Linked DNA regions of Bombyx mori. The protein of the gene in region 1 purifies or fractionates together with the protein of each later gene. This does not show direct contact. Links are inferred from orthologs where the notes say so. Each region holds a gene or a part of one and is shown in the gene's direction. Other genes may lie near its edges.

Region 1 (4,087 bases):
CACACGTCTTGACATTTTCTTGTTCGGTAGACGAATCTAGTGAAGGGCTGCTTTAATGACGTATCATGTTTATTTGCCTTAGACATACAACATAGGATACACAATGTATTGATAAACAGCAGTTTATTTACCTGAGAATTTGATTATAAATTGTTATCACACTGTTTTCCTTTTGTTATTAAATGTCACAGGTAATAAACACTGCACACATATTGCACACAAATTCCGTCGATTTTCTACACATCAACGTCGTACACTATTCGTTTTGATAAGACTATGGTCGAATGACAATTAAAACACAAATTATAATTTCAATTGAATGACTTTCCCATCGCGTTTACAAATTAATGTACCTATTTATTTTACTCTATGAAATAAGCGAATTATTTTTGATTTTAATAAAATCCACTAATCCACTTCCACAGAAACATTGACGTTCAGCACAGAGAGATTATTTTACTTTTTTTTAGGGGATTTTATGTCCTGGTAACTAAGACCTTTAGGTCAAGTCTTATTTTAATTTTTATGAAAAATGATAATATAGATATATATATAATATAGATATATCACTCTATATTATCATTTTTATATTTCTAAGATGAAATGATATAGGTTTAAATATATAATCTGGTGGTTATTTACTGAGACTTTTTAGTGGGTTTTTTGGAGGATCCCGAGCAGCTACCTCAAGCGGCCTTGTTTCATTTTCCCACATTTCACAGATATTAAACAGTTAATAAGCCACCGTTATTACACATTTAAGTCTGAAGAAACACTAAATAGACAAAATAAAACAAATTACACAATTTCACTCGGACGCTTTGCTACCACAGTTTAAATCCTTGAAGCAAGCTACTTCTGGAAATGATTGAAATTTCGTTCCAACTGCGATTGTGTATACTGGCATATTGCTACAAATTTTTTTGTGCATTTAGAATCATAGCTAAATAACAACTGGCCAAACTTAAATAAAATGAATTCCTACTCCAGTTAAATAGCGGGAGGCATGTCTGTCCAGAGTTGTCAACTATAGAGTACGTAAACAGGACATTTTTAATTTATAACTGCACTAACTGAACTTGCAGTAACTGAATGGGCTTAACCAAAAAACAACTAATTTTGATGAATAATGAACTTTAATAACTTCTTTTTTCGCTTCATCCTTATTATTTTTTAACAAAAATATAAATACAGGCATTTTCCTTTAATAAGTTACGACTCGTCCATTAATAGAACCACGTTTAAGATTTTGTAAAAACGGTTTTTTAAAATAATTTGGGAAATATTAAGATTGAGGCTGGCCACAGGATCATATGAGATGCTTAGGGCTGGCAGCTTTATCAATATCATAGACAATCAACAAACTAAAAATGTCCGTCGAAATAGATTTCCAATATATTTTGTGATTTGAATTTGTGGCTTGCAATGTAATTAATAGAAATAAAAACAATCTGGAAAGTATTTATTTACAGTAAAAAGATGATTGTGCAAGAACCTATCCAGGTATGGTGAAAACCAGTAAATTGAAGTTTCATATCTCCCAGTGGGACGTTATAAATTATTTGTTTTCTCGCAGGTTATCGTTTGGGATTGCCTCAACAATTATGAATTCGAAAACGCTATATTTTTGGCAGAAAGATTGTATGCGGAAGGTATATAAATTGTATTAAATATAATGTACCATTGCAAAATATTGATTTTTATTCTGGGTGTGCTTTTTGTTTTCGCTGCTTATTTAATAATTTGATGATTATTTGCAGTTGGCTCAGAAGAAGCTGCGTTTTTGTTGGGAACATGTTATTATAGGTCAGGGCGAATTAATGAAGCACATCATTTACTTCAAAATAAAACCCTTGCATTACCACAAGCAAGGTTTTTATTAGCCAAATGTTCAGCTGACTTGAAATCGTAAGTACTTTTCATTTAAAAAAAATAAATGTTAAAAATTCCCTGTGAAGCTTCTCTTCAAACAATTTAAATTCTATTAAACATATGGGTGAACTTATGATGGCATTTTGATAGTTCATGTACTTTTTGTTTATAAATGATTAATATGCAGATTGTAATGAGACCACCCAAGGCTATAACAGGTAAAATTGGGAACAAAAAGAAAACTAATTTCCTAAAGCATTTACAAATTAGTAATGATAATTTAAAATTTTTAGAACGAAATATGTAAGCTGGTGGCAGATGCTCCATGTGTTACTTTCTGTAGTGTCCACCATTTGTAGACACAGTTAAAACAATTATTAAATTTAATAAAAGACACGAGCTTGACTTGTAGAAGAAGTTTTAGGCACACAAACTTTTTTTTTTTATTTCTGTAATTGAAATAAAAAATGTACTTGGATCAGATACACATGTTTAATTTTTATCAATCAAGATCTGCAGATGCCAATATTAATTAGCTATGAAAATCAATAGAAAACAAAATATGAGTACCTGCATTCTATAGTTGAAATCTCAATCGCTTATTGCTATAGTTGTTATTTATAGAAAAGTTAACTGCTTAGCAGCAAAAATAGGTAGGATGGTAGCACACCTGTGAGGGCCTGCAACATGTATTAAATATTTGAATACAGTGAAAGCTCCTTATTCAATTCAAACTGACATTTAGCTCTTGGATCATAAATATGTCTCTTCAAAATAAGACTGATCTCAATAGGTGGGTCAATTTTCATAAAAAAATAACAAAGTCCATTTGCAATACCTAAAATTTGCTTCTGGTTTTATATGTTTTGGACAAATTTTTCTTTTACTGAACGCGAAGAGATGTCTTATATGATTAAAATATTTAAATAGGACACCAGCCCCTACAAAGGCATCTTTTGTCATGGCAGTTTAGTCATAGTTGCATTACATATGTTTTACTTTTATGTTAATGTATGTAAACCCATACAAATATACAGTTATTTATCATTACAGCTACAAAGATGCAGAAATTGCACTGGGCTCCAACCTTGATATAATAGCTTCTGAATTTGGAGAGCAGGCGCCATACGCTTTACAGCTTCTTGCCAAAGTATACATCAGCACAGGAAGAAGGAATGAAGCCGCTGAAGCCCATCGGAAAGCACTATCTCTTAACCCATTTATGTGGAAATCATTTGCACAGCTCTGTAATATGGGTGAGAAAGTTGACCCCCAACAAGTTTTCCAAATAAACAACTCTGAGTTCACATTTGGTGTTACAACATTAGTCAATCTAGTCAGCAATTCAGAAAATATATCATTTGTTAACTGTAATATTCATAATAACAGCAGCATGAATACAAATGTAACACCTAATAATGTTGCCACACGTACACCCATGGCTATGTCGACAAGTATAACTCCTGAGACACAAGCCCCAATGAAGCGAATGCATAGTGTTTTTAGTGGTATGGCACCTATTCCATTTTCACCATCATTTGGAATGCTTACAATGGAAGAATCTCCTGTATTATATACTCCAACATTGACAGATTCAAATGAACAGAAAGCAATTCCTAAAATAGTTAATTCTCTACGTGCACAAATGGGACAACTTAAGGATGCAGTATTTAGCCCAGCTCCAAGATGTACACTTGGCCCTGCCCCACGTAGATCATCAAGACTATTCAGTAATAATAATAGTAGTTATTCAGTAAAGGAAAATAATAAATCACCTAGTAGGAAATTTGCAGCACCAAAGAGTCCCTCAAGAAAAAATAAACAGAGAACTGCTAAAAATATTAAATCTAATACAATAGATTCAAATAAAAGTATAGAAACTGTCACTCCAACCATACCTCCAAAGAATTCAAATGGAGTAGCATTGTTGAGTCTTATGAAAGAAATAGGAGAAGCTTATAAATATCTTGCATTTTTAGACTGTAAAAATGCAATAAAATCCTTTCAAGAGTTACCTCCAAAACAATTGGCTTCACCTTGGGTACAAACCATGATCGCACGTAGCCATTATGAATTGGCTCAATATGAGGCAGCTGCTAAAATATTTTCAGAAATAAGAAAACAGTATCCAAGTCGTACTGAAGGGATGGAAATTTACAGTACCTGTCTATGGCATCTTCAGCGTGAAGCACAGTTATCAGCCTTAGCACAAGAA
Region 2 (4,126 bases), on another chromosome or scaffold:
GTGTCTAGGGACACAAAATTAAGGAGACCTGTTAATACCCCCGTGCACAAAACAAAACTCTGATGTGGACGTTCCTAGATAAGGAATGTACTTTTGAGTTTGTTGGATTCGCCTCTGAACAAATAAAATACCCACACGACCAAATGGTTTGTTAGAAAAGTCATATTAAAATTTATTTTGCTAAAAGTTAAATGTAACATACTCTGGCAATAATTAGACTACCGTACTTTATGACTTAATCACGAACACTAACGATTACTTCTAACGTCTAAGAGAAGACTAAGTCATCCATGAGAACTACAACTGTAAATTACCTGTACGTAGCGCCGGAAATAATAAAACTACAATAAAAAAAAAATTGTGAAAAGACGTTGAGTTTCAAATGTGTCTACCACACGTGAAGTCGAAGAAAATCTATACTAATATTATAAAGAGGAAAGATTTGTTTGTTTGTTTGTTTCGAATAGGCTCCGAAACTACTGGACCGATTTGAAAAATTCTTTTTCCATTAGAAGCCGACATTGTCCCTGATGAACATAGGCTACTTTTTTATTTTATTTTTTATTTATTTTTTTGGTTTCATGTGTGTTTTAATGTTTCCGAAGCGAAGCGAGGGCGGGTCGCTAGTATTAGATAATAGAAAATAAACATGATTAAGGAATATAATTATAAAGGAAGTGAGCGAATGAAAAATATTAATTGAAGTGAGATATAACACCCTTAAGTGTCCATTGAGATGAATTGAAATCACCTTTCAGAATTTACTGAGCTCAATGGAGTTTTTGGAAGTTGCCGCGAATCTACGTTTAGCGATTTTGTTTCATTTCACGCATTTCTACATGTACTTCAACTGATATTAAATCATAAGTAAGCCACCATTAGGAAAGTTAAGGACCATTACATCTGAATGAACGATAAATTAACAAAATAAATCAATTCACATATTTTGCCCTCTCTCTAAAAAGTCGATGAAACAATTAATTGTTGCCAGTTTCGATTTATAAAATGTTCATGTAGATAATTAGTACAAATCAGCGATTTTTAATTTATTTCCCAATTTTGCGAACTTGCAAATTAGATAAATAAATAAATAAAAATATTCCCCAAAGATATAGTAACAAAAAGTAAGATCGGTCAAGATTATTGAACATAGGTAGCTTAGTATTTATAGCACCTTTCACTTATGTCATAATATCTCTATAGTATGTGGTAGTAAGGAACAGTAAGATAAATTAGCATCACATCTGTGATTTAATATATGGAATTTTATACGTAAATATTTAGTTTTAATTAAGAACACAGTGTGACGACCCATTAAAAATTTTAGCGCATTGTGGAATGAATGTTATAGGAATAGTTAAAGCTACCTTTGCCTAATTGGGCAGGCTAATAAAAAAAATGCAGTTTTATGTTTTGAATTTTGAAAATTTTGATAGATCAACTCGAAATCAAATTTGATAAGTAGTGAACATTTTTCTGAATAATAAAAATTGCATGCTCTGTTGTAGAAAGAGATTAATATTTCGAAATTCCTTCTCAAAACAAATAGAAAAATTCTAAAAACTTAGTGACATTTCGTTTTAGTGTAAAAGGTGATAATAACGCAAGCAAATGCTATGAGCGCCTGACATAAAGAAGGAGAAGCAGAAGCATGTCGAACGTGGAAAACGTATGTCCTCAAGCGTTGCGTGGCGTGGCACGCGAACTCCGACAGCTGGCGGCTAATCCTCCGCCGGGCATCAAACTGCAGCTGCGAGACGACGACATATCTGACATAGTCGCGCTTATCGATGGTCCCGGTAAGAATCTATTCAAATATGATACTGCCCTCACCTCCAGAACCGGTGTGACATTTCGTTAAACAAAAGGCATATCTACTTTCTCATGTCATGTAATAAATCAGAGGTGGAAAGGTAAATGGTCCAATGGCAATGTCTGGATTTGTTACATTGAAGTACATCTCAATATTCAACGTCACAGTTACAATTTATACCGATTTTTTGCTATCTGCTTGATATTTATTTTGTTTTGAATGTCATTACTTATATCTTGCAATGTCTCAATTTTGTATGGAAAATTTGGACATGATTTTTTTTCAATCTGCATCTCCCGTCTTTTAGATATTCAATAATTATGGAGTCCTTTGAAGTCATGGTCTTTCTAAAGATATATTAACAGCTGCAGATATTACATTGTCAGAACTTTGTTTAACTTATAATTTAGACCTCTGAAGAGATGAGGAATAGGAGAATCTGACACTATCTAAAAGTCATAATTTTAAGAAATGTATGATGTGTTCTTTTTGCATATGGGACTTTCTTTAAAACTAAACAATAAATAAATACCTTCATAATGAACACCACACAATATAAGCCACAGATAGGTGAACCAATTCTCAATATATACCACTGCCAGTTATGTTCAAAGTTTTCAAAAAGCTGTTGTCATGTTACATCTTACCTTTATTGGAGAAAAACAAAATCATCCCAAAGAAGTTTAGTTTTAGGACGACATATTTAGTAGTTGTGCAGTTATAGAATGATAGAGAAAATGAGAAAGTCAGGTGTTTTTAGGCCTCTCAAGCACCAGTCCTCCTCGGTTGATTACGACTAACCCATACACAGCCCACTGAGTATCTTGCTGGATCTTCTCAGTAGGTCGCAATTCTGATCTGGTGGTAAATGTTTCAAAGCACTGTTCTTGCTAGGTCTAGTGCTAGCAAATTCTCTCAGGTTGAGCCTGTGAGCTCGCCTATCTGTTCACGAGAAGCTGGAATATCTCCACAGGATACTAGCCAATAAGTAGGGAAAAATTATACATATACACATTTTTTTATGTGTATGATTTTTATGCTTTTTTTTTTCTAATTGAATTAATGTGTCAAAATATTTTTGAGCATTTTTGTATATAGTTGTTATATCTAAAGCTGTAAGCTGTAAGCTGTGTTAAGTAAAATGAGATTTTAGTATGGCCAGAGGTTTAATATTTTTTTTATTGCTTTGATGCATGGACGAGCTCACAGCCCACCTGGTGTTAAGTAGTTACTGGAGCCCATAGACATTTACAATGTAAATGCGCCACCCACCTTGAGATATAAGTTGTAAGGTCTCAGTATAGTTACAATGGCTGCCCCACCCTTCAAGTCAAAACGCATTACTGCTTCACGGCAGAAACAGGCGCGGTGGTGGTATCTACCCGTGCGAACTCACATAAGGTCCTACCACCAGTAAAAACCAGATTCAAGGGTATCAACTAAATTAATGCAAAAGTTGATGATTTCAGCGGAGACGCCGTATGAAGGGGGCGTGTTCCGCGTGCGACTCGTGCTCGGACGCGAGTTCCCCGCCAGCGCACCGCGGGCATACTTCGTCACCCGCGTCTTCCACCCCAACGTCGCCGCCGAGACTGGCGAGGTCTGCGTCAACACGCTCGCACGCGACTGGCGCCCCGAGCTCGGGCTCCGGCACGCGCTCCTCGCTCTGCGCTGTCTGCTCATCGCGCCCAACCCTGACTCGGCACTCAACGCGGAGGCCGCCGCCCTACTGCGCGACCGCTACGACGACTACTTCGCGCGCGCCAAGCTGCTCACCGACATCCACGCGACTCGCAGCCGCGCCCCCGCCCCCGCGCCCGCCGCCGCGCCCGCGCACGCGCCCGCCGCCGCGCCCGCGCACGCGCCCGCGCCGCCCGCCAAGCGCCGCCCCGCGCCTCCCCCCCGCGCAGACAAGCGCCGCATCCTGAAGCGGTTATGAGCCGTCCCGAGATCAAACGATCAGACCACGCAAATGGACTCGTCCAACACGAGCGAACTTTAAGATATTTGCAAAATTGAACTTTAAGTAGTAGGTGAACTTTTTAATAATTTAATGTGTATCTGCAAAAACTGAAATCCTTGCGTTGAGTGTGCGCTGGACAGTCTGCTGCCCTTCCCCCATCTCCTTCCCGAAGCTCTTCCCTCGCGAACGTCGAGTCACTAAATAAAATCTTACCCCAAGTTAATTGAGTTAGAATCCTCCGTGCGGCTGGAGCTGAGCTGCGAGTGGCGCGGCTGGACAGAGCGCTCTGCTGCACGTGACGCTCGGAATATAAATTCACAATATCGCTATTAAAATACGTTTCCATAGAT
Region 3 (4,075 bases), on another chromosome or scaffold:
GTAATTTCGAAAGAGAACAAACGTATTTTATATAAGAACAATCGAAAATGAATATTTACGAGTAATTAAGGACGAAAAAATTTTAAAAATTGCAATCGAGGGGCTAACTTTTAGATATATTTTTAATATTTTTTTTAAAATAAATAAATGGGGAACAAACAATTATTAACAATGAACAATCAAGAACAAATGATGAACAAACGAATTAATAGAAAATAAGTAGAAAACAGGAAAAAAAAATTTTTTTGAGGGGCTAACTTCATTCACCTATAAAATCACACCATTTAATTTATAACAAAGGCCAAAACCATATATTTTGTTGTGAGAAAAGTGAAATAGGAATTTTGCACAAAAAAAATCCGGCGAGTTATTTAGCCGCGTGGAACTAAATTAAATGTCAGAAATATTGGAGCTCAATGAATTTGGCCCCCCCCCCTTTGTAATTATTGGATTTTTTATTTTTAATTGTTATTTCGTCTTTTATTTATTTATAATTAATTAAACAAATGATCACCCTTAAGTCGGCCCCTCTTACTAGATGTCTTTATTTCTATCACTCAGACTAATTAATTTTGATCAATTATCGTTTGTTCGGCGACTATTGGTGATTGTTGCATCATAAAAACAAATAAATTCCCAATTATTAATTATTTTATATCTATTAAGCAATCAGGCCTATATTGTGCATGCGCCGGTTTTGTCAGTCACCTATCAATGGCCGTATTTACTAGCGTTTTGTTAACAAGTGCGCTTAAACTGTCTAATTATTTCCTAGGTAGATCAAAAAAATATTGAAAACTTCAACAATACTTCAACAAAAAAATGTCAGTGAAGACGACCAATTAGTCGTTAAAGTACGATTCGCCCGGTTTTAATAAATTCAGTTATTTTTAATTATATTGAATATTAACAACCATATAGAAATTTCAGTGATTTCTAATTATTCTAAGAATATTAAATTAATAATTGGGAATTTAATTGTTTTTATGATCGAGCAATCACCAGTAGTTGTCGAACAAACGATAATTGATCACAATTAATTAATCTGATCGATAAAAATAAAGATATTTTGTAAGAGGGGCTAACTTAAGAGTGATCATTTGTTTAATTATAAATAAATAATGGACGAACAAACAATTTTTACATTCGAACATTAACGAACAAACGACGAATAAATAATTAAAATTAAAAAAATATATTTGAAAATTAAAAAAAGGAGGCCAAATTCAGCTAAAATACTAACTCTATGGCACAGGACCACAGATCATAGATTAGACACTTAATATCCACAGATTAATATATTAGGATTGAACGCAAAGAGTAAAGTGTAAACATTAATTAATTTATTTATGAGGATATCGTTCTTAGATCTTAGATCTTATGTATAAGATAACTGACCTGCAATAATGATGAATATAAATCATAAAAAGGAAGATTTGAAACTGTACTGGAATAAAATAAACTATGCCTATCCAATTCTCGATGATAAAATTTTCAGCGACTGTACTGAGGCTGAATACGATGAAGTGCAAGTGTTAATAGTTAATTTGGGTGTCCAAATAAAGATACGTGATCTTGTATTTGTTCATATTGAGAAATATCTACGACAACATGTCGCATCTAGTTTTTGGTCAAAATATATTAAGACCGCGGAAGAAGTTAAAGGATTTCAACTATTTAAATCTTCAGTGAATGATCTCTATGAAGCAGTTTCTAGTTTCTCACCCATGTTACAAAGATTGACTAAATTGAACAGTAGTTGTAATGATAATAAGTTAATTTATGGCGAGAAAAATCTTGTATTAGGTTTTAAGCAGCTCGTCCGAGCTACTCTTCTGTCTCAGTTACCCATCGACTTTCAGTGTATTATAAACCAATTCTACAAAATATCTTTTAATGTTTTCGATAATGAATATGAAAACTCCGACATGGGCGAGGACATAATGTGTTCTGGTTGTGGAAACGAGTATTCCGATTGTAACTGTGCATACATTGTGAAAGTATTTCATGAAACAAATAGGAAGTTGGTGGAGTTACAATTGTTAGAAAGACTCACAGGTCAAGTTCTAACTAATTTCATCCAGTTGAGAATTCAGTCTCATATACAGAAAGTATGTACTGGCACTTTTGATGTGTCCCACATTGAAGCATTAGAAAGTTGGCTTAATACGACAGTAATGTCTTGGTTGATCAGAATTTATTGTGCTGGCTCCTCCAAACCTCCACCTGATGATAAAAATATACAAAATGCAATCTCAAGATTCAAACAGAAACTCACTTACTATCTCTATCATAGCTACACAAAAACAAGAATTGATCAGCTCTTCAACATCATTATAGAATATCCTGATTCCCAGCCTGCTGTTGATGACATCAAAATTTGTTTAGCAAAAACAGATTTGAGACCAACTCTATGTAAAAAGTTACAGAATGCATTAGAAACAAGGCTTCTTCACCCAGGCGTGAACACTCCTGACATACTCACTGCTTACATATCTACTATTAGAGCTTTGAGACACCTAGATCCTTCTGGTGTTATACTGGAAACAGTGACAAAACCTGTTCGTAATTATTTAAGAAGTAGAGAAGATACAGTGAGGAGTGTTGTGAGCAGTTTGACAGAAGAAGGTGCTGGTAGTGAGTTAGCTGAAGAGCTAGCTAAATTTGCAGCAGAAGGAGATGGCGATGCCGATAAAGATGAGGCTTGGGATGAATGGAATCCTGATCCAGTTGATGCTGATCCCAAAGTTGATTCAAATGACAGAAGAACTAATGATATTATATCTATGCTTGTTAATGTTTATGGTAGCAAGGAATTGTTTGTTAATGAATATAGAACTTTACTAGCTGATAGATTACTGGCTCAAAGTGTTATCAATACAGAAAAAGAAATTAGGTACCTGGAGCTATTAAAAATAAGATTTGGTGAATCACAATTACACTTCTGTGAAGTCATGCTTAAAGATATATCAGATTCAAAGAGAATTAATTCCTTAATACATCAGGACAAAACCATTGAGGAGCTGAATAAGAAATTTACTTCTAATGCAATGATTTTATCTGCACAGTTTTGGCCACCATTTAAAGATGAAAGTCTGGAATTACCAGAAGAAATCAAGGAACATTTTGAAGCATACACTAAATCTTATGAAGCTTTAAAAGGTAATCGAACATTAAGCTGGAAACCACACCTTGGAAATGTAAACTTAGAGATAGAAATAGGCGAAAAGAAGTTAGATCTGACAGTTTCACCTTTTAATGCGACATTGATAATGCATTTCCAAAATAAATCTGAATGGACGTTAGATGAACTCCATCAGGTGATGAAAGTTCCTATTACTATTCTGAGAAGGAAAATAACATACTGGCAATCGATGGGTTTAATAGCAGAAAAAAGTACAGATCACTTTGTTTTAGTTGAAGCTGATAATAAAGCCAGTGTACCTTCACATCAAGTACAGGAAATGATTTGTGAAGATGAAGAAACGGAGAGTGCCATGGCATCAGCACATGATCAGCGGGAAGGTGAACTGCAAGTTTTTTGGTCTTATATTGTAGGCATGTTAACAAACTTGGACTGTTTGCCTTTGGACAGAATACATCAAATGTTGAAGATGTTTGCTTCCCAAGCTCCAGGCACTGAATGCAGTCTTATGGAGCTGAGACAATTTTTAGACACAAAAGTAAGAACACATCAACTGGTACTTCAAGGAGGCATGTACAAATTGCCTAAGACATAGATGTTAATATTTATCAGAAATAAAAAAGAACTTGAAAGTTAACAAAACTTTATTTTCACCTTTTATATATTAATTTGGTTACATTACATGTCTATTTAAGTTAAAAGTTCAGATGCTTAAAACAATTTCTTTAAGCTGTTCCATCAACAAAATACATTATAAATTAAAATAAGTAATACCACCACTTGACTATAAAATAATACGAATAACATTTAAATACTTAGTGAATTTAATACATTATCATGTGTCAGTCTTAATATCTATTAAAATACTGTTTAAATTAAGAAGTAAGAATAAATAAATAAAACTAATTTGACAAGAAAAACATACTGGAG
Region 4 (4,168 bases), on another chromosome or scaffold:
CCATCAGAAATCTACGTACCTACCATTAAATTTTCCATTAAACAGAGTTCTTATTAATATAGAACAATAATTTTTTTGTTAATAAGCTTTATTAATATATGATGTTCTATTAAAAATCAATACTTCTTATATAATTTATTTTAATAAATTGTCATAATCAGAAACTAATTTCACCATAACTTTGTACGTTTATTTTGAACAAATTTAATTTTTGACGTTGATGGAAATTCTAAATTGTCGCAACATTTTCTAGTTAAGTTTAAGTCACATCGTTTAAATAATATGTATTTAGACATATTATTGTCATAAAATGTTTAAAATCCTGTAAAGTTGATTGATTTTAACCTTTTCGATAATTTTCTACAACGCCCAAGCTACTAAAAAATCCACTAACCACTAAAAGCCATTTTTGATAACTAAGACGGGGGTCCGAATTCCGAGATTTTATGGAAAATCCTCTAAGCTAGCAACACTGCTTTTTGTTTGTAAAATGTGCGAGAGGGACACCACCACTTAATAATCATTCTCTTTTCAGACCGTTTTTCCTTACATCTTTTGCTATTTAAAAATAAACTTTAAGTCATAGAGATAAAGTATATTTTTAGTTTTTATGTCAAACGAAGTAAGCACTCCAGTTAGAATAGTAACTCTATGGTCTATGGTTATACACCATTAAAATTTTTAACACACGCACACTTTGTCAACAGGAACAAAAACATCTGCACTTGTACTTGTGTACAACAAAAAAAAACACAAAACTTGGCTTTTGAGAAAAAAAGTGTATGAAAAACAGTAAAAAAGGATATTAAACATTAAAATTATAAATAGCTTTCAATTAATATTCACATATTCTCAATATTGACGGCAAGCTGAATCGATAGAAAGAACTTTTTAGCAGGCTTCAACAATAATTTCGTGATCAGGAAGTGCCGCAAAAATCATTACAGAAACTGTCTTTCTTTATTGTTACTCGCTCACTAATGCAGTTTTAATTAAAATGAATTATCTTACTCTTACCTATACAACATTGCAGTTTCAAATCATAAACTCCTTGTAGGTATAGTCTAAGATTTTTGCCATTTCGATTTATTGCACTGATTTCTGTGCAGCCTGTACAGCCAAAAAACATTTTTACAATATGGTATAACATTTTTACAAACCTAGCAACACTGGTATAAGCATCGCGGCGCCCTATTGGTTGAAAATTAAAAACCGTTCAAAACGGCCTTCAAACTTTGAAGTTAATTGAAGTTCAAACGTATGGCCGTTTGAGATCCCCTTTGTTAATTTGTCAACAATTACTTTTAGTGAACTTTACTGTTATTTAATATTATTTGACTGTAGTTTATATTTTTAAGCTAGCTAAAAATGACGTCGATCAAGGAAGATGAAAAGAAAGAAATCCCCGAAATCATTCACGATCCACAAACTAACAGCACCTACCAAAGATTACGGTTTTTTGGCAAGGTAAGTACTTACTGTATCTACGTTATTCGAAACACTTTAATTTTAAATAGGGATATAATGTATACATACTCTGTTCTTTTATACATTTAAAGCACTAATAATATTCTGTACACGAAGTACAAAAATGTATATTTTAGTAACCGTCTCATTGAATACATAAAAAAGTTCAACGCCGCCCAGCATGCACCTGTTTCGAAATAGCCTGACTACAGACATATAAAAATGCAGATCAATATAACTGAAGTTTGTCAGTCGAATTTGCATATCATTAATTCAACAGAAATTAACGACACGTATAGAATATGTGTGCATAACTGATATGCGAAACACAAGCAATGACGAAAATTTTAAATTAAAGCTTATATTTCTGTTAACACAATGATCGTTTTTAGGGTGGCTTTGCAAAATGCTACGAGATCCAAGACATAGCCTCCAACCAGATATATGCTGGAAAAATTGTTTCAAAGAAACTAATAGTGAAGTCATCGCACAAAGAGAAGATGGCTCAAGAGATCTCCATTCACAGGTCTCTCCAGCACAAGCATGTAGTTGGCTTCCACAGTTTCTTCGAGGACTCTTTGAATATTTATATAATATTGGAGCTTTGTAAAAAACGGGCAAGTATCATGCATATTTTAATTTTTTGTCAATTGATCTTGTCCAAAAAACTGAATAACAATTTAAGTTAAAAATTCATACGATTCTAAGGTATGGAAATGAATTAGATGGTTGATAGTTTCCGAGCCCATGTTCCATTTGATTCTCATACAGTCACCAAAGCCTCGGAATAACATTTATGTGATTAACAATAACTTGTTGATACACCAGTACAAAAATGGAGAAAAGAACTCTTAAGTAAAATTATAAAAAAAAAATCTCTTAAACTCTTGAGTCTTGGAAAATTAAATATTCTTTAATTTTCCACATCATGAAAAATATATATTTCATTTTAATATTTATGAAATACACTCAAGTACCATTAAAAATAAGACAGCTTGATTATGTGAATTGCATGTTATGATGTGCAATTGACATGGGAAACAATCAATAAACATAAGTAGTTGACTTAAAAATTTTGGGAAATTTATGACTGTGAATGCATTAAACATTTTACTTTAAACTATCTATGAAGCTGAACATAACAGTAAAATTTTGGTTGAACACTACGAATTATATATTAAACTGTCCAATAAATTGATAAATTCTGCGATTTTTTATTTTAGTTCTTATAGTTATATTCCCTTTACTGTTAAAACTACTTCTACCTTGCATTGTAGAATGGAGACAAAAGCAAGGCAAATCAAGTTTACTAAAAAAGATAATTAATTTTACATGAATTCTTTTGAAATATTTTTGTAAAAATAGTAAGTAAAGCAGCTTTCTGATGTCAGATTTTCATATTACCCACATTTTAATAATGCCATTAAGAATTTATAAAATTTAGATGAGTTTTAGCATCACTAACAATATATATTAATTTAGTTTAGGATATTTTAGTTGATATTTTGAATATATTTTGCAATACTATTCTGAAATAAAATTGATGAGGCCTATTTATTTGTTACTGCCCATGAGTACTCCTGAGTAGCTTATTATGTTGCTTTCATCATGTCTCCGTTTAAATGAATGCAAAACATATTTTCACTACCTATAAATCAACAAAATGTTTGATATCCAATAGCCTAATAAAACCACTCTTACAGTCGATGATGGAGCTTCACAAGCGTAGAAAAGCAATTACAGAACCAGAGACTAGGTTCTACATGCACCAGATACTGCTTGGCGTGCAATATCTCCATAGTAAGAGGATAATACACCGAGACTTGAAACTTGGCAATTTGTTCCTTGATGACGATCTTCATGTAAAAATTGGAGATTTTGGTCTTGCAGCAAGGATTGAATATGAAGGTAATTATAGGCCTACTCGATAGTGATCTTCTATCACATTGTAGTGATAAAAGTTTTTAATGAAGGCATGACTACAACTTTTTACAATTTTATCATGCAAACACTCTGCTTAAAGAACTGAAACCATTTTTTTATACCTAAGAATAACCTTGAGATTCAATTTCCTTTTCAACCTTTCTGAAAGTAATCATTCTCAGAAATATAAACATGAAGTGTGCGCCCATAGTTGTAATTCTGATGCTAAGGATTTCTCGTTTTTGAACTTGAAACAACAAAATGAACTTTCATAGGAGAGAGAAAACAGACTCTGTGTGGTACCCCAAACTACATTGCCCCTGAGATATTAACAAAGAAGGGCCACTCATTTGAAGTGGATATCTGGAGTCTGGGCTGCATCATGTACACGCTGCTTGTTGGCAAACCGCCGTTTGAGACGTCCACCCTCAAGGATACATACAAAAGGATTAAACAGTGCGAATACAGGTGATTTTTTTTTAATATAAATCTGTATGGATATCATCATTATTATAGTATTAAAAAGTATATATAGAATATTGATTTCAGCATTGATTACAATACGAAAAATATATACGTGATCATGGATAACATGTTATGTTAATATATTATATTTTAGAAAGTTATCAAAGAGAATATTAACAATAGATAATGTTATTGTTCCAACCAGTGAGGCAGTAGAGGTAGCGATGCGCGTTTGTCTCGGGGGCCCTTGGAACCATTTACGTAGTCGCTACGCGCGAACGTTAATCGACGATAACACCCTCAAACTACAATA
Region 5 (4,032 bases), on another chromosome or scaffold:
ATATTATCAGTTACGTATTGTTTTCTGTTTTTAGATATGCCTCGCGTGTACGTATCAAAGAATGCAAAGCCTTATAAGAGATATTATCCCTTAATATTAAAAACAGCAATTAGGAAATTTTCTATTTGGGAATAAGTCTTTAGTTGAAATAGCTAAGCAATTTAATATAAGTAAGTCAATTTTGCACAGACATGTAATAAGAACAATGAAATCTCAAGGTGGACAAAAATGTCTAAGTAATACATAATAAAATATTTATTATTTGTTCAGAGTGTCCGTTTTTTAATGTTTTTTATTGATGATCACTTTGTTGGTGCAACTAAATAAATAAATTAAAACCAAGTAGTGCCCACCCTAGCAAATTTCTCATTTCGTCCCAATTAACCGCAATTTCCGGGTAAATAGGGATTACACCTATTTTTGCTTTTTTTGCTTAAACTGGAATGCTAGTTGCATAGTTTTAAATTGGACAACAAAGATGCTCCCAAGACTCAATCATTTTGATCCTGATATAGCATTATATACATCAACAACTACCTTAAAATTGGTCATAAAGATGGAATTTGTCCCTAATCGCCCCATTTTACCGGTACTTGCGTATTTCAAGTTGCTTCCGCTTGCAGTTCTTTCACTGAAGTTCCAGTACATGTGTAATTTCTATTTTTAGTATTGTTTAAAAGTGATTTATTAAAGACCTTGTTTAGTTTTTAGTTCTTTTTATTTCAAATGATTTTTAGTAGTTTAATTGAGTTTGGTAATTTTTTTTTATTTCACTTAACATCATTTCAAAATATGGTACTCGTTTATGACTTCGTTTCATGTATCGATCCCCGTGCCTATCAGATTTTGAAATAAAATAATAAAAATTACACTTTGAAAATTTTCGAATTAACATCTGACAATTTTTTTAGCGGGAACGCAAGGCGCTAAGTTCTGTTAATTTTGTTAAAGTAGTGCTCATGTTTAAACGTGTAATAACGGTGATTATTACACTATTATTATACTATATTACATTATTAACTGTTTAGTATCTCTGAAGGTGCACAAATGTGGGAAAATGAAACAAATTCGCTGGACGTAGCTTCTCAAAAGCTTCCAAAAAGTCTTGGTGCATAACCACCACTCCACTGAGACTATATTTCATCACATCTCATCTCATTTCATTAACATCCTAATTGATTTACTGTCTCAAATTAATAAACTTCATCTCATTTCGCTCTATGGTTTTTCAAAACACAGAATTCACAGAATACACAAAAAATACGCTGTATGGTGTGATACCTTCGTTTTTCCAGTTCAAAAAATAAAGTAGCCGATAAGACTGACATATGACTGACATTAAAAACAAATTTATTTGATCTTACTTGATTTTACTTCAGTGGTTAGATTAATAAAATAAACATTATATTTTTAAAATTAGCACATAAACTTAAAGGCAAATGATAAATACTGAAAAAAATTTGTTCAGTCAACATATTATATCATAAAAATCGTTAATTTAATTATGAAGGATCTTAAGGTTAAATAAATCTAAAACTTCTATTTTAGCCTCATGATCGCGCTATGAAAGTAACTGTAAAAAGTAAGCACAATCTCTTTTTTTCATAATGTTTATTTTCCCTGGTTAATTTACACTTTATTCTTTGCAACTTAAAACACACTGACATTAAAGTAAATTAAGTAGTAATTTTTGCTAAGTGCCTTATTGTCATAGAGCACAATTCTTAAAAATTCCTCATACAAGGAAGAACCGATTGAAATTGAAATATTCACAGTAACGAGATAATTCATTTTAGGTTGGACAGGGGTTGCAACTTGGAGGTGGGTAGCAAACGACGACAATTGTGGGATTTGTCGTATGCCATTTGATAGCTGCTGTCCAGACTGCAAACTACCTGGGGACGACTGCCCTCTAGTTTGGGGTGCTTGCTCTCACTGTTTCCACATTCACTGTATCGTAAAGTGGCTACACTCTCAGCCTCAACAGCAGTGTCCTATGTGCAGACAAGACTGGAAGTTCAATAACAAGTGAAATATTCGTAAGTACATACCATAAATTAAGAAAATATAGTTTAAATAATAAATAAATATAGGTTTTTATTCTCACACTTTATTGTGTCACTGCTGTCCCATTTTGTAACTATATTTTGTTTACCAACCTATAAGGCTAGAATAATTTGGAAAAATTTATTGTTTGGTGTTTTCAAACTCAATAAGTAGTTAAATGGTTCGATGATTATAGAGTCACAAATCCTTATTAGTCATTTTTAGTTTAGTGATAACAAGTTTAAATCTCACCTTAACTTATTAATCAGGTGGTATGTAGTATAGAATATAGGGATTGATCTGCACATAATAGCAACTTTTATTATTAATGTCAGAATAATGCAAATCTAACATAAATGAAGTTGACAATATCACAACATTTTTCTTTCTTTGAAGCTTTGATTACGGAGTTCTACAGTTTCCTTCCTTTCATAATTCAGCAGAGTACTAAGTTTTAAAGACAAAAGGTTGCTACTATGCTAGTACAGATTAAATATTATTAAAGTTTTCTGTGAATTGTTGTACAAGGGATTGTCAAAAATATCATAATAACGAGGGGTGAAAGGTTATTATTTGGTTTAAGAGATAATATTCGATATTTATCTTTGTAATTAAAGGTGCATTTTATTTGATGTCAGTATAATTTTTTAATTGAACTTTAATTAAGCTAAAGAAGTTTTTTTTTTATTATGTTTTTTTTTTCAAATTTTAAACTTTAAATGGCTCTGCTATAAAGCTGCAAAAATGTCGCTCAAATCAAATAGCCTTTCACCCCGATATGAACTACTGATAAATTTAGATGTGTTGGTGAAATTAGCCTACCTTATGTTCTTTTTTTTTTTATTGCCCCTGTGGGCATACGGCCCACCTGATGGTGAGTGGTTACCGTCGCCCATGGACCTCAGCAATGCTAGGGGCAGAGCCAAGCCGCTGCCTACTGCTAAAATTTTCACTGCTTTTCCATTATTTGTATTTGGGCAGGGATTAGATGCAGTGTAGTTCGACTCCCACAACCTGAATTTGTTCAAACCACTCTGAAATTATAAATATTAGGTAATGATTATTAACAAAACATCTGTAGTGATAGAAAACAATCTCTGGAAAAATATTCTATAAGGATTCTGGATGATTTGCCTTTGGCACCAAATAATTTGGTCAAAGGGCAAATTATCTCTCCCAAAAAAACCAAAATACTGGGATACTCTTAAAATATAATCTTTATATACAGTATTTATAATATACTTTTTTACTGGGCATCGTTTCTGCCTGCACTGATAGTGACCACCATCCTACATATTTTTGCTGTGAAGCAGTAAAATGTAAACATTTGATGTGTGGAGCAGCCGATGTACTGTAAAAACTGACTTAGAAGTCATGTCACAGAATGGGTTGTGACAACTCATTAATCTCTCAGCAAAAATTAACTGTGAACCTTGCTGTCTATTCTTCGAGTTGCCTTTCGCAAAACTCACGAGAAGAGAGTGGATGCCATTCTAGGCCCTCTGGAGCTTAGTGTGCTGCATGCCGACATCGGTGTGTTTATAAACCAAAAAGGTCCCACATATTGCTTAACAGCACTTCAAAGAAATGTGATCAAAGCTGAAGTCCTGACAGGATACGTTGATGGCAAGCAATTTTTTTTGCCCCGAAATCGTCCTTTTAATTTTTTTAATTTTTCTTGTTGCTTCGATGGGTGGACGAGCTCACAGCCCACCTGATGTTAAGTGGTTATTGGAGCCCATAGACATCTACAAACTAAATACGCCACCCACGTTGAGATATAAGTTCTAAGGTCTCAGTATAGTTACAACGGCTGCCCCACCCTTCAAGCCGAAACGCATTACTGTTTCATGGCAGAAATAGGCGAAGTAGTGGTACCTACCCGCGCGGACTCACAAGAGGTCCTACCACCTACTTAATCAAATATCATTTAGTTTCAAACGCGTAATTTTTGTTTGGCAATGACGCGTAAATAATACACGCGGG
Region 6 (4,029 bases), on another chromosome or scaffold:
ATCCAACTTTAATTAAATCACTTAATCCATATTCACTTTTCTTTGGTTGTGAATTTAAGAGATTATACAATTCTTCGTCTGTCAATTTTGATAACACGTAGCTTGAATCAGTACCTATGATATACAGTAAAGTTGTAAATATTAGAATTATTATGCTGGTATCGTATGTATTATAGTTCAATTAAACTAATTTCGCTAAAAACAAATTTAGGTTATAGGTACATACTATAAATACTTTTGATGGAATTTAAATTTGTAGAATTCTATTAAAATTGCAATAATAAACAGAAATCTTGAAATCTAAAAATTCAAATGTTTAAATTTCTGTCGGCTATCATTTCTTTGATTGATTTTTGAGTAAAAATTACGGCGGGAGGTGTTGTTGGTGATAAATTAATAAATTAATTTATAAAGCGTCATAAATTGTGATCACTAGAAGTGTTGGTAATAAAAGTTCAAGCAGTCCGTATTTTCTTCTTTCATTTATCATTTGTTACTTACGCACGGCACAGAATAGAAACGAATAGAAGTAAAAGTTACACAGTTACCTACTAAATTAAGTTCATGAGTTAATTTAGGTATATACTTCGAATTGGGCTGGTTTGTACGAAACTACTTACGGCGCCGGTGCATCATGCATAAATGATTCAATTTAAAAATCTTTAAATTACTATATGTTATCCATAGTGTAAGGAGAGAGTCGGGTAGAATGTTAAACTATTCGTAGTATAAAAATAACTATACAAAGGTAGAATCAGATTTTAAGTTTTACCGATAAATTGTAAATATGTTTTCTAGCCTACAAAACCTTTTAATTAATATTAACGGTTCACGTAACTAATTACTTAACGCTCAGTAGAACGGCTTTCTAATTCGTATATGCTACTGATTAGCAGGAAAAAGATAGGAGCTACACTTTAGCGCTGGACTTAGGCTATACCGACATCCATAGTGAGTAAGGCCTCATTTGCAAGGGAGTTTTTTAAAAAAAAAAAGCATTCATAGAGAACAGATGCACTTCCTAGTATATGTTCATACGTCAGCGCTTATAAAACGCGACGCTTTTTTATTGCGCAGTGTTGCATTTTGAGCGCTAAGCGTTGGGCGTTACAGATTACGTCACATCGAGAACCTTATAAAAGCGCTAACGCCGAGTTTTAACGCAACGTTTTTAAAGCGCCCGTGCGAAAATATTCTAATAGGTTACTTATCTTGACATCCTCTGCTCTCTGATAGAAATATTAATGATGAATTCGTGGATTTATTAAGTCCGTACATAAGTACAAAACGAAACGTTTAAAATCATTAAATCAAGTTATAAATTTCCAAAAACAAACCTGAATAAGTGACTGCTGAAGGCATTTTCGGTAAATTTTCTTCGTTTGGAATATAGCTTTTAGTTTTCATGTATTCTTCTAGGTCACTATTCGAATCATATGATGAAAAATATGAAGGTTTTTGCAGCATAGCCATCGGAATTGTATGTTGTATCTGAAAATTAAACTTTATAGTAGGTTTACTGAAAGTCGGTTTAATCAAAAATAAATTTCATCATGCTTTAGAAACTGAATAATCAAAAATAATTTCATTAGCAATTTGGCTATCAGTTATAGAGTTTCTTAGATGAATAGTTATTAAATATCTTCTATTTTGTACATAGTTGCAGCATGTCAAATAAACTGATACCTTGTGTGATACCTTGAATAGGTGCCCTCTAACTAAAACTAAATATTGAATGATGATTTACTTACCAATAAAATCAATAATAGTGGTATTTTGACAATCCATGAAGGCATTGTAGCATAAACAGTTTAATATCAAACTAACCGATGCACGACCACAAGTTTGCTGATAAAAATCGTTCTGTCATTATTGTTTTTTAAAATTAACAATGAACAAACGCTCGTAAAATTTTTAACACTTATTGGAAAATTACTCGGTCAACATTGAATTAACAAGCCTCTTTTCTATTTGTAGTGATGTTCGCAGTTACAAATTGTACCTTCTCTTTTTGGCTGAACTTGACAACGAGTTGATTGAAATTGCTGATCGTAGACCAAAGGAAAAATAAACGTTGGACACAACGGTTTCTACTACCTAAGTGAACTTACCATTTCAGCATTATCAACGTTAACATTTAATTTAAAAAAATACAGTACACACTGTCTAATATGTTATTAAGACCAGGGACGTCTTAAGCTAGGGTGGGGCCCTTGGGCACACAAGAATTGAGGCCTTTCGGAAAGTAAAAAAAGCGAATTATAATAACATTTTTTTACTGAGTTTGAGACCATTTATTATAGGTAATCAAATATGTCATTAATGATATTAGAATGCTGCTGGTTTTTTGGTTACGATTTCGATAACGGTTTCTTTCGGGATTTCTGTTGAGCAAAATCTCCCATTATAGGCATAGTATATGCCTTGTAAATACCTTCTGATTACTGATTTGTGCAAAAACTGTAATGTGCACGACAAAAATGTTTTGAGAATAAACGTGTGAGAGAAATTGTCGGTCTTTCGGGGCCCCCTGAACATGGGGGCCCTGGGCACGGGCCCCGTTTGCCCTAAAGCCGAATTTACATTACGAAATTAGTGGCGTGAAATTAATTTCGTGACATTAGTTTTACTAACAGTTTCACGTGTAATTTAATACTTTCGTAATGCATGCATTAATTTCATGCATGGAAATTAGTTTCGTGCCCTGCGCGATTTTTTGGTGAAATTAATGTCATGCAACTAATTTCATAGTGTAAACGCGACGTGAAACTAATGTCGCGAAAGGGCCTGCGCTGTGCGGACGTGTGTATTGTTAGTTCGGACGCGCTTCAAGCGTTGAAAATGGCAAACCTATGATGAAGTACAGAAAAAAATATAGATCTTATTAATGAATATCAATGACAAGGGTCCCGAAACACCTATAGTAAAAAATCAAAATTATCTTCACTCATTCGAAAATAGTTTTTATAACTCTCAGGATCTTCATCTGCTAATTCAGAGACTAACTTCATTGCACCTAAATGCCTTCTTGTTAACCATCCTCGAATCTACCAACTTTTTTTTTCTTGATAGTCTTTTTTTAGGTTTATAGGTATATAAGCATTTCTTTAGCTACATTGAATATAGCAAATTATAGCTTTGATGCTAACGGCGCCATGGTTACTGCGATACTGTGGATTTCGCGACACTAATTTTTTAACGAAATTACTTTCGCATATATCGAAACTACTTTCGTGAAACTGAGCTCAACATGCATGACACTAATTTCGTAATGTAAACTCGGCATTATGGTAAAGGCGGTATTGATTAAGACCGCTAACAGCGATAAGACGCGCGATTTTATACTACAAGCAAAAGGCAAAATAAAGATAGTATTTTTTAGGCAGCACCAACCTAATTCTTCTTGATTGGTGAAATGTAGTAGGGAAACTGATTTAAGGACAAATAAAATGTTATGATAGATCATCCGTTTTATCAATGAATTGCGTTTTATAGATAGTTTTTGTTCGTTTATTGTATAGTACTTACACATCTTTGAATTTTGATCAGCTTTTTCACCTTTTTTCACAATAAAAACAAAAATGTTAGTTAAAACGTTTTAATGAAATGATGGCTTTGAAAATGGTTTCAATTATTGGTAATTACAATTTTTTTTAAAAACCTGCCTGTTTATTTCGATTGTTTTTTTATTAATTAGTGTAGATGGGCGGACTAATTTACGGGATATTATTAAAATATTAGCTGTGCATTATTATTTAAGCAGTATAACAACAATTCTACCAATTAAATATTATGTGTATTTTCTATTAATCTTACTCTTAAGGCCGGAATACATTTTGGCTGGTATAGATGATGACACGAACTCATGAACCCTGTGTTAGTATTTTTTGAAAATGTGAATTACGAATATTATGAAGTTTTTGATTAAATTTGTATTTTAGGTGCATGCTTATATTTTTTTATGGTTAGCGTGGTATGGATATGTGATGCGTCGAGAGAAGATGCATGTGACTAGGAGATGAATGGAAA
Region 7 (4,129 bases), on another chromosome or scaffold:
TTTTAATTTTCCCACATTTGTGCACTTTCACAGATATTAAACAGTTAATAAACCACCGTTATTACCAGTGGTCGGAGTAGGTAGATTGATTTCATATACTTGGATCAAGATATTTTAATATGGACATGCCATTTTATCCATAATGATTATTTTTTTAAAATGAAAAAAATTATTTTTAATCCTCATCGGATACAATTTCTATACTTATAAAGTAACAAAAAAGCACTGTCTAAGTTTTGTCTCATACTGACAAGCGTCATTTACAATTTAACAGAAAGGGACAAAATAACTATAACTATAACTATACACATATATATAATATATAACTGTAACTATTCCAAGGCGTTTTTGTATAAAACAAAATACTGATTTCTTTTACCATTAGCTAGCACTGATAGCGTAGATTACAGGTGGCTGTGAACTCGTCTACCCATCTAAGCAATAAAGAAAAAAAAAATTATTATTACGTTTTTCACTTTAAACACAAATTCATGCTAATTTCAAAATTCCGGAACAAATATCACAATAAATATGAAGTTCCAGTATTTTGGAGGCATATATATATATATATATATCCATATTATCCTCTACGTTTGACGTCAACGACCTTAACTCAATCTACTTACCCACTCTGACCTCTAGTTATTACACATTTAAACCTGAAGAAACACTAATTAAACAAAATAAAACAAATCACACAACTTCACTCCTCGAGTTCCCGCCAAAAAGTTCTTAATAGGTACCTACATATTGTTTTTGTTTCATAATAGCATCATACATGGTGGTAAGGCCTCTTGTGAGTCCGCGAGGATAGGTATCACCACCCTGTCTATTTCTGCCGTGAAGCAGTAATATGTTTCGGTTTAAAGGGTGGGGCAGCCGTTGTAACTAAACTTGAGACCTTAGAACTCATATCTCAAGGTGGGTGGCGCATTTACGTTGTAGATATCTATGGGCTCCAGTAACCACTTAACACCAGGTGGGCTGTGAGCTTGTCCACCCATCTAAGCAATAAAAAAAAATCAAATGATTCAGGTTGCCGAAGTTAAGATTTTACCCTTTTAGTTTGGAGGATAGAGATTAGGAGCACATCATCATCTTTGTGTGTTGATGTAGCTGTATGTAGAGAGAGCTTATTTCTATTTGATCTCATGTATTTAAGTTTATTACCACTTTACTTAAAAATTAATTTATTTTCCTCAGTTCCATTTCACTTTGCGTAGTATATCAGACGGAGTTTTGTATTTTTAATATGTAAGCAAAGGGTATATGGAGGCGTTTGAGCATTGACACTTGATTTAAAGGAATTTTTGACATTGAAGTTTGAATGAAATGTTTTGAATTATTTGAAAATAACAATTATCAACGGACGCGCTGAATTCACCCAGTACCTACATAACGGCTCGTTTGTATCAAATCGTCCCTACATACTCAAGTGTGTATATAAATTCATTGATTTTGATTATTGATAGAACGATTACAGCAATATAATCGACAAACAGCTGACAACTATGTCACTACAACAAACAAAAAATTGTATTACTTTGCGCGGCTCCGCTCAAATTATATGCGAATATTTGAGTAAGTAACATTGTTTCTCTGTTGTTCTGGTATCAAAAGCTTGTTTTCCCATTTTTACCACACAGCCGTATAAGCATATATGCGCTGAAAGCTCTGATACTAATAATAACCTGAGGTTGTAACCAGTATGTTGAAGTGGCCATGATGGACATGCTTATTTATTTTTATTTATTGAATTAATATATTTTGTACACACAGCTGTTAGAAGAAACACGACCATAAAGATACAGAGTACAAGGGCTTACTAATGTGGACTACAAAACCATTATAAATTTATATGACTAAAGTCCACATTTGTTTAATCCCTGTGAGTAGTATAAACTGATTTATTTACTCATGTTTTCAGAATTTTCAATAAATTCAGTACTGTTTCAACGAGGCTTATATCCACCTGAAACCTTTAAGGCAGAAAACCAGTATGGCATCACACTGCTACTCTCAGAGGATCCTCAGATCAAGAGCTTCTTAACAAATCTTCTTACACAGAGTGAAGGTATCAGTTAGTCTACATCCAAATCTAATATGATTAATAGCAGTTCTTAGTAATAATTAGTAACTTTTTTGATGGACTTAAAATAAAGATCAACAATTTGGGGAGTTCTTTTATCATTCATTGTTTTTAGTGGCATTGTATTTATGCACGAATGAGATGAATCAACTGCTCATGTGCTGTGTTTTGAGGGCCACTACTGCTACCTACTTAGCTCCACACCTTAGTCTGGAGTTTTAGGAGTTTTGACATCCTTTAAATAAAGTTTTACCACAGCAATTTCTTTAGTTTTCACAAGTCATAGAGATAACTGAAACTAGTACAAAATTTAATGTACATCAATAACCTTAATTGTCAGTACTCACAATATCACAAAACAAAAATAATATATGTGTGATATAATCCATTAAAGTAGTTTTAATGATGTTATTTTGATGATATTACAGAATGGATTCTTGACAAGAAAGTGAAAAAACTATCTCTGATCATACTAAATGTGGCTAACAAAGAAGTTCTGGAATGTTGGGACTTTAACATTCAATACGAAGATGGAGATACTGCTTTATCTAAGGAGAAAAATGAAATGGTCGGGAGCAAAGATTTGAAGAAGATACAACAGGAAATCAGAGATGTTATGTTACAAGTAGCAGCAACAATATCGTACTTACCGCTATTAGATTGTAGATGTTCATTTGATGTTTTGGTTCATGCTAAAACAGACTGCGATATTCCAGAAAAATGGGCTGAGGCACAACCAGTAGCTATAGCCAATGCTCAGAATGTACAGCTAAAGTCATTCTCGACTAGTTTACACAAAATGGAAACAGTAGTCAGTTACAAACTCGCAGATTGATTGCAGCTTTACTTTATAAGTTTTCTATTCTTTTTAAGTATCTCAAGTAATGTAGTTTGTAATTATCTAAGGTAAGGTAACATATTGTTGAAGAGAGCATGCATCAATTGCGTGATGACCATCAGGTGACCATAAGGTGGACTATGACCGTCTACCCATTTTAAATAATAAATAACCTTTACTGCTTTCTCCCCTCTCTGCAATAATGTACTAGTGAATCTTTAATGACTCATAATTATAGTAATGGTGAATTTTAAAATGAAATTATGCCATAACAATTACTACAGTTGTCGTGATGTGTTAAGTTTTAGTTTTTTTTCTCAAATAAGAAGGAAATCGTCAATCAAATTGTTAGGCCATTATTGGTTGTAGACTGTTCTCGATCTAAATACGTATAATTTTATTTAGTGACTAAGTTACAGTAGGTATTGATTATGCTTTAAACAGTCTAAAGTTTGTTTTAATCTCACAGCTAAGTTTTGAGTGCTTGGTTTTACAAACAATGTTATCTGACTCCCATACAGGCCAATAAAGATTATTGTTAGATACTTGAGAAAAACAGTGATGTTCTCACACGAGGCTGGCATTCGCACATATTCTATGCGTTAAGACCTGAATATGGAGTTGATTTTCTAACAAACGGTTATCAATATCTTAGCCCCACAAGTAATTTTGTTGGTATCTACAAATGGAAATCATTTAGTATTTAAATGGTAATGACTACATCTCTAGTTCGCTTGTTCATGTATCTACTATAATACTGTATACTTGGGCACTTAATGGGCACCTAAAATTGAAAATAATTTTATATTATGTGTTTTTAACTAATAGCAATCAACCGAAATCTATATTGTGTTCAGTATTGTAAATATAAAATGTAAGTTTTAACTGTGAATGTAGCACCTTCGTTTCAATGTTTGGTATCATTTTGGCATGTATAAATGAATTTAAAAGTGTTTGGTTTTTGTCTTGTTTAAATGAGCGATGATACAAGGGTGATATAAATTTTCTACTATGACTACAGCATAATTTATTCTACTTTCGTTACGTTTCTGGATCGATTCGAGGCCAAGGTCGTCGTGTATGTCAACGTTCCTCACGAACCACAGCTCCGACGGCCAGCCTGCAAAAGCTGGATTGTAGGGATTGGAGGGTGTCCAAGTGTGTGCGGGCCGCGTGAGCAAACACCACACGCGTAGGTCATG

Evidence for each region.
Region 2: the proteins of cell division cycle protein 27 homolog (region 1) and ubiquitin-conjugating enzyme E2 S purify together in Homo sapiens (affinity purification with western blotting; 4 studies listed by BioGRID, with this or other methods). This does not show direct contact. The link is inferred for Bombyx mori from reciprocal best matches to the Homo sapiens genes CDC27 and UBE2S.
Region 3: the proteins of cell division cycle protein 27 homolog (region 1) and anaphase-promoting complex subunit 2 purify together in Homo sapiens (affinity purification with western blotting; 20 studies listed by BioGRID and IntAct, with this or other methods). This does not show direct contact. The link is inferred for Bombyx mori from reciprocal best matches to the Homo sapiens genes CDC27 and ANAPC2.
Region 4: the proteins of cell division cycle protein 27 homolog (region 1) and serine/threonine-protein kinase polo purify together in Homo sapiens (affinity purification with mass spectrometry; 4 studies listed by BioGRID and IntAct, with this or other methods). This does not show direct contact. The link is inferred for Bombyx mori from reciprocal best matches to the Homo sapiens genes CDC27 and PLK1.
Region 5: the proteins of cell division cycle protein 27 homolog (region 1) and anaphase promoting complex subunit 11 purify together in Homo sapiens (affinity purification with mass spectrometry; 8 studies listed by BioGRID, with this or other methods). This does not show direct contact. The link is inferred for Bombyx mori from reciprocal best matches to the Homo sapiens genes CDC27 and ANAPC11.
Region 6: the proteins of cell division cycle protein 27 homolog (region 1) and anaphase-promoting complex subunit 15B purify together in Homo sapiens (affinity purification with mass spectrometry; 3 studies listed by BioGRID and IntAct, with this or other methods). This does not show direct contact. The link is inferred for Bombyx mori from reciprocal best matches to the Homo sapiens genes CDC27 and ANAPC15.
Region 7: the proteins of cell division cycle protein 27 homolog (region 1) and mitotic spindle assembly checkpoint protein MAD2A purify together in Homo sapiens (affinity purification with western blotting; 29 studies listed by BioGRID and IntAct, with this or other methods). This does not show direct contact. The link is inferred for Bombyx mori from reciprocal best matches to the Homo sapiens genes CDC27 and MAD2L1.

The regions. Positions count from the first base shown.
Region 1 is NC_085117.1:10,632,657-10,636,743, reverse strand, and holds the start of cell division cycle protein 27 homolog, read left to right. Parts: upstream 1-1,287; 5' UTR 1,288-1,479; coding exon 1,480-1,503; intron 1,504-1,576; coding exon 1,577-1,652; intron 1,653-1,760; coding exon 1,761-1,908; intron 1,909-2,925; coding exon 2,926-4,087. UniProt on the Homo sapiens protein: Component of the anaphase promoting complex/cyclosome (APC/C), a cell cycle-regulated E3 ubiquitin ligase that controls progression through mitosis and the G1 phase of the cell cycle.
Region 2 is NC_085116.1:176,346-180,471, forward strand, and holds the start of ubiquitin-conjugating enzyme E2 S, read left to right. Parts: upstream 1-1,326; 5' UTR 1,327-1,461; exon of another isoform or gene 1,462-1,584; 5' UTR 1,585-1,651; coding exon 1,652-1,799; intron 1,800-3,282; coding exon 3,283-3,752; 3' UTR 3,753-4,126. UniProt on the Homo sapiens protein: Accepts ubiquitin from the E1 complex and catalyzes its covalent attachment to other proteins. Catalyzes 'Lys-11'-linked polyubiquitination.
Region 3 is NC_085131.1:8,614,822-8,618,896, reverse strand, and holds anaphase-promoting complex subunit 2, read left to right. Parts: upstream 1-1,275; 5' UTR 1,276-1,406; coding exon 1,407-3,740; 3' UTR 3,741-3,787; downstream 3,788-4,075. UniProt on the Homo sapiens protein: Together with the RING-H2 protein ANAPC11, constitutes the catalytic component of the anaphase promoting complex/cyclosome (APC/C), a cell cycle-regulated E3 ubiquitin ligase that controls progression through mitosis and the G1 phase of the cell cycle.
Region 4 is NC_085121.1:12,620,802-12,624,969, forward strand, and holds the start of serine/threonine-protein kinase polo, read left to right. Parts: upstream 1-1,368; coding exon 1,369-1,467; intron 1,468-1,859; coding exon 1,860-2,084; intron 2,085-3,170; coding exon 3,171-3,375; intron 3,376-3,665; coding exon 3,666-3,858; intron 3,859-4,060; coding exon of another isoform or gene 4,061-4,168. UniProt on the Homo sapiens protein: Serine/threonine-protein kinase that performs several important functions throughout M phase of the cell cycle, including the regulation of centrosome maturation and spindle assembly, the removal of cohesins from chromosome arms, the inactivation of anaphase-promoting complex/cyclosome (APC/C) inhibitors, and the regulation of mitotic exit and cytokinesis.
Region 5 is NC_085118.1:13,747,260-13,751,291, forward strand, and holds the start of anaphase promoting complex subunit 11, read left to right. Parts: upstream 1-1,381; 5' UTR 1,382-1,563; coding exon 1,564-1,582; intron 1,583-1,592; exon of another isoform or gene 1,593-1,796; coding exon 1,797-2,032; 3' UTR 2,033-2,039; exon of another isoform or gene 2,040-3,080; intron 3,081-4,032. UniProt on the Homo sapiens protein: Together with the cullin protein ANAPC2, constitutes the catalytic component of the anaphase promoting complex/cyclosome (APC/C), a cell cycle-regulated E3 ubiquitin ligase that controls progression through mitosis and the G1 phase of the cell cycle.
Region 6 is NC_085121.1:5,937,655-5,941,683, reverse strand, and holds the start of anaphase-promoting complex subunit 15B, read left to right. Parts: upstream 1-1,229; 5' UTR 1,230-1,337; coding exon of another isoform or gene 1,338-1,491; intron 1,492-1,751; coding exon of another isoform or gene 1,752-1,796; exon of another isoform or gene 1,797-1,978; intron 1,979-2,161; exon of another isoform or gene 2,162-2,303; intron 2,304-4,029. Other genes in the region: uncharacterized protein LOC101746435, read right to left, coding at 1-114, 1,338-1,491, 1,752-1,796. UniProt on the Homo sapiens protein: Component of the anaphase promoting complex/cyclosome (APC/C), a cell cycle-regulated E3 ubiquitin ligase that controls progression through mitosis and the G1 phase of the cell cycle.
Region 7 is NC_085128.1:1,144,864-1,148,992, forward strand, and holds mitotic spindle assembly checkpoint protein MAD2A, read left to right. Parts: upstream 1-1,329; 5' UTR 1,330-1,511; coding exon 1,512-1,581; intron 1,582-1,927; coding exon 1,928-2,074; intron 2,075-2,517; coding exon 2,518-2,924; 3' UTR 2,925-3,880; downstream 3,881-4,129. UniProt on the Homo sapiens protein: Component of the spindle-assembly checkpoint that prevents the onset of anaphase until all chromosomes are properly aligned at the metaphase plate.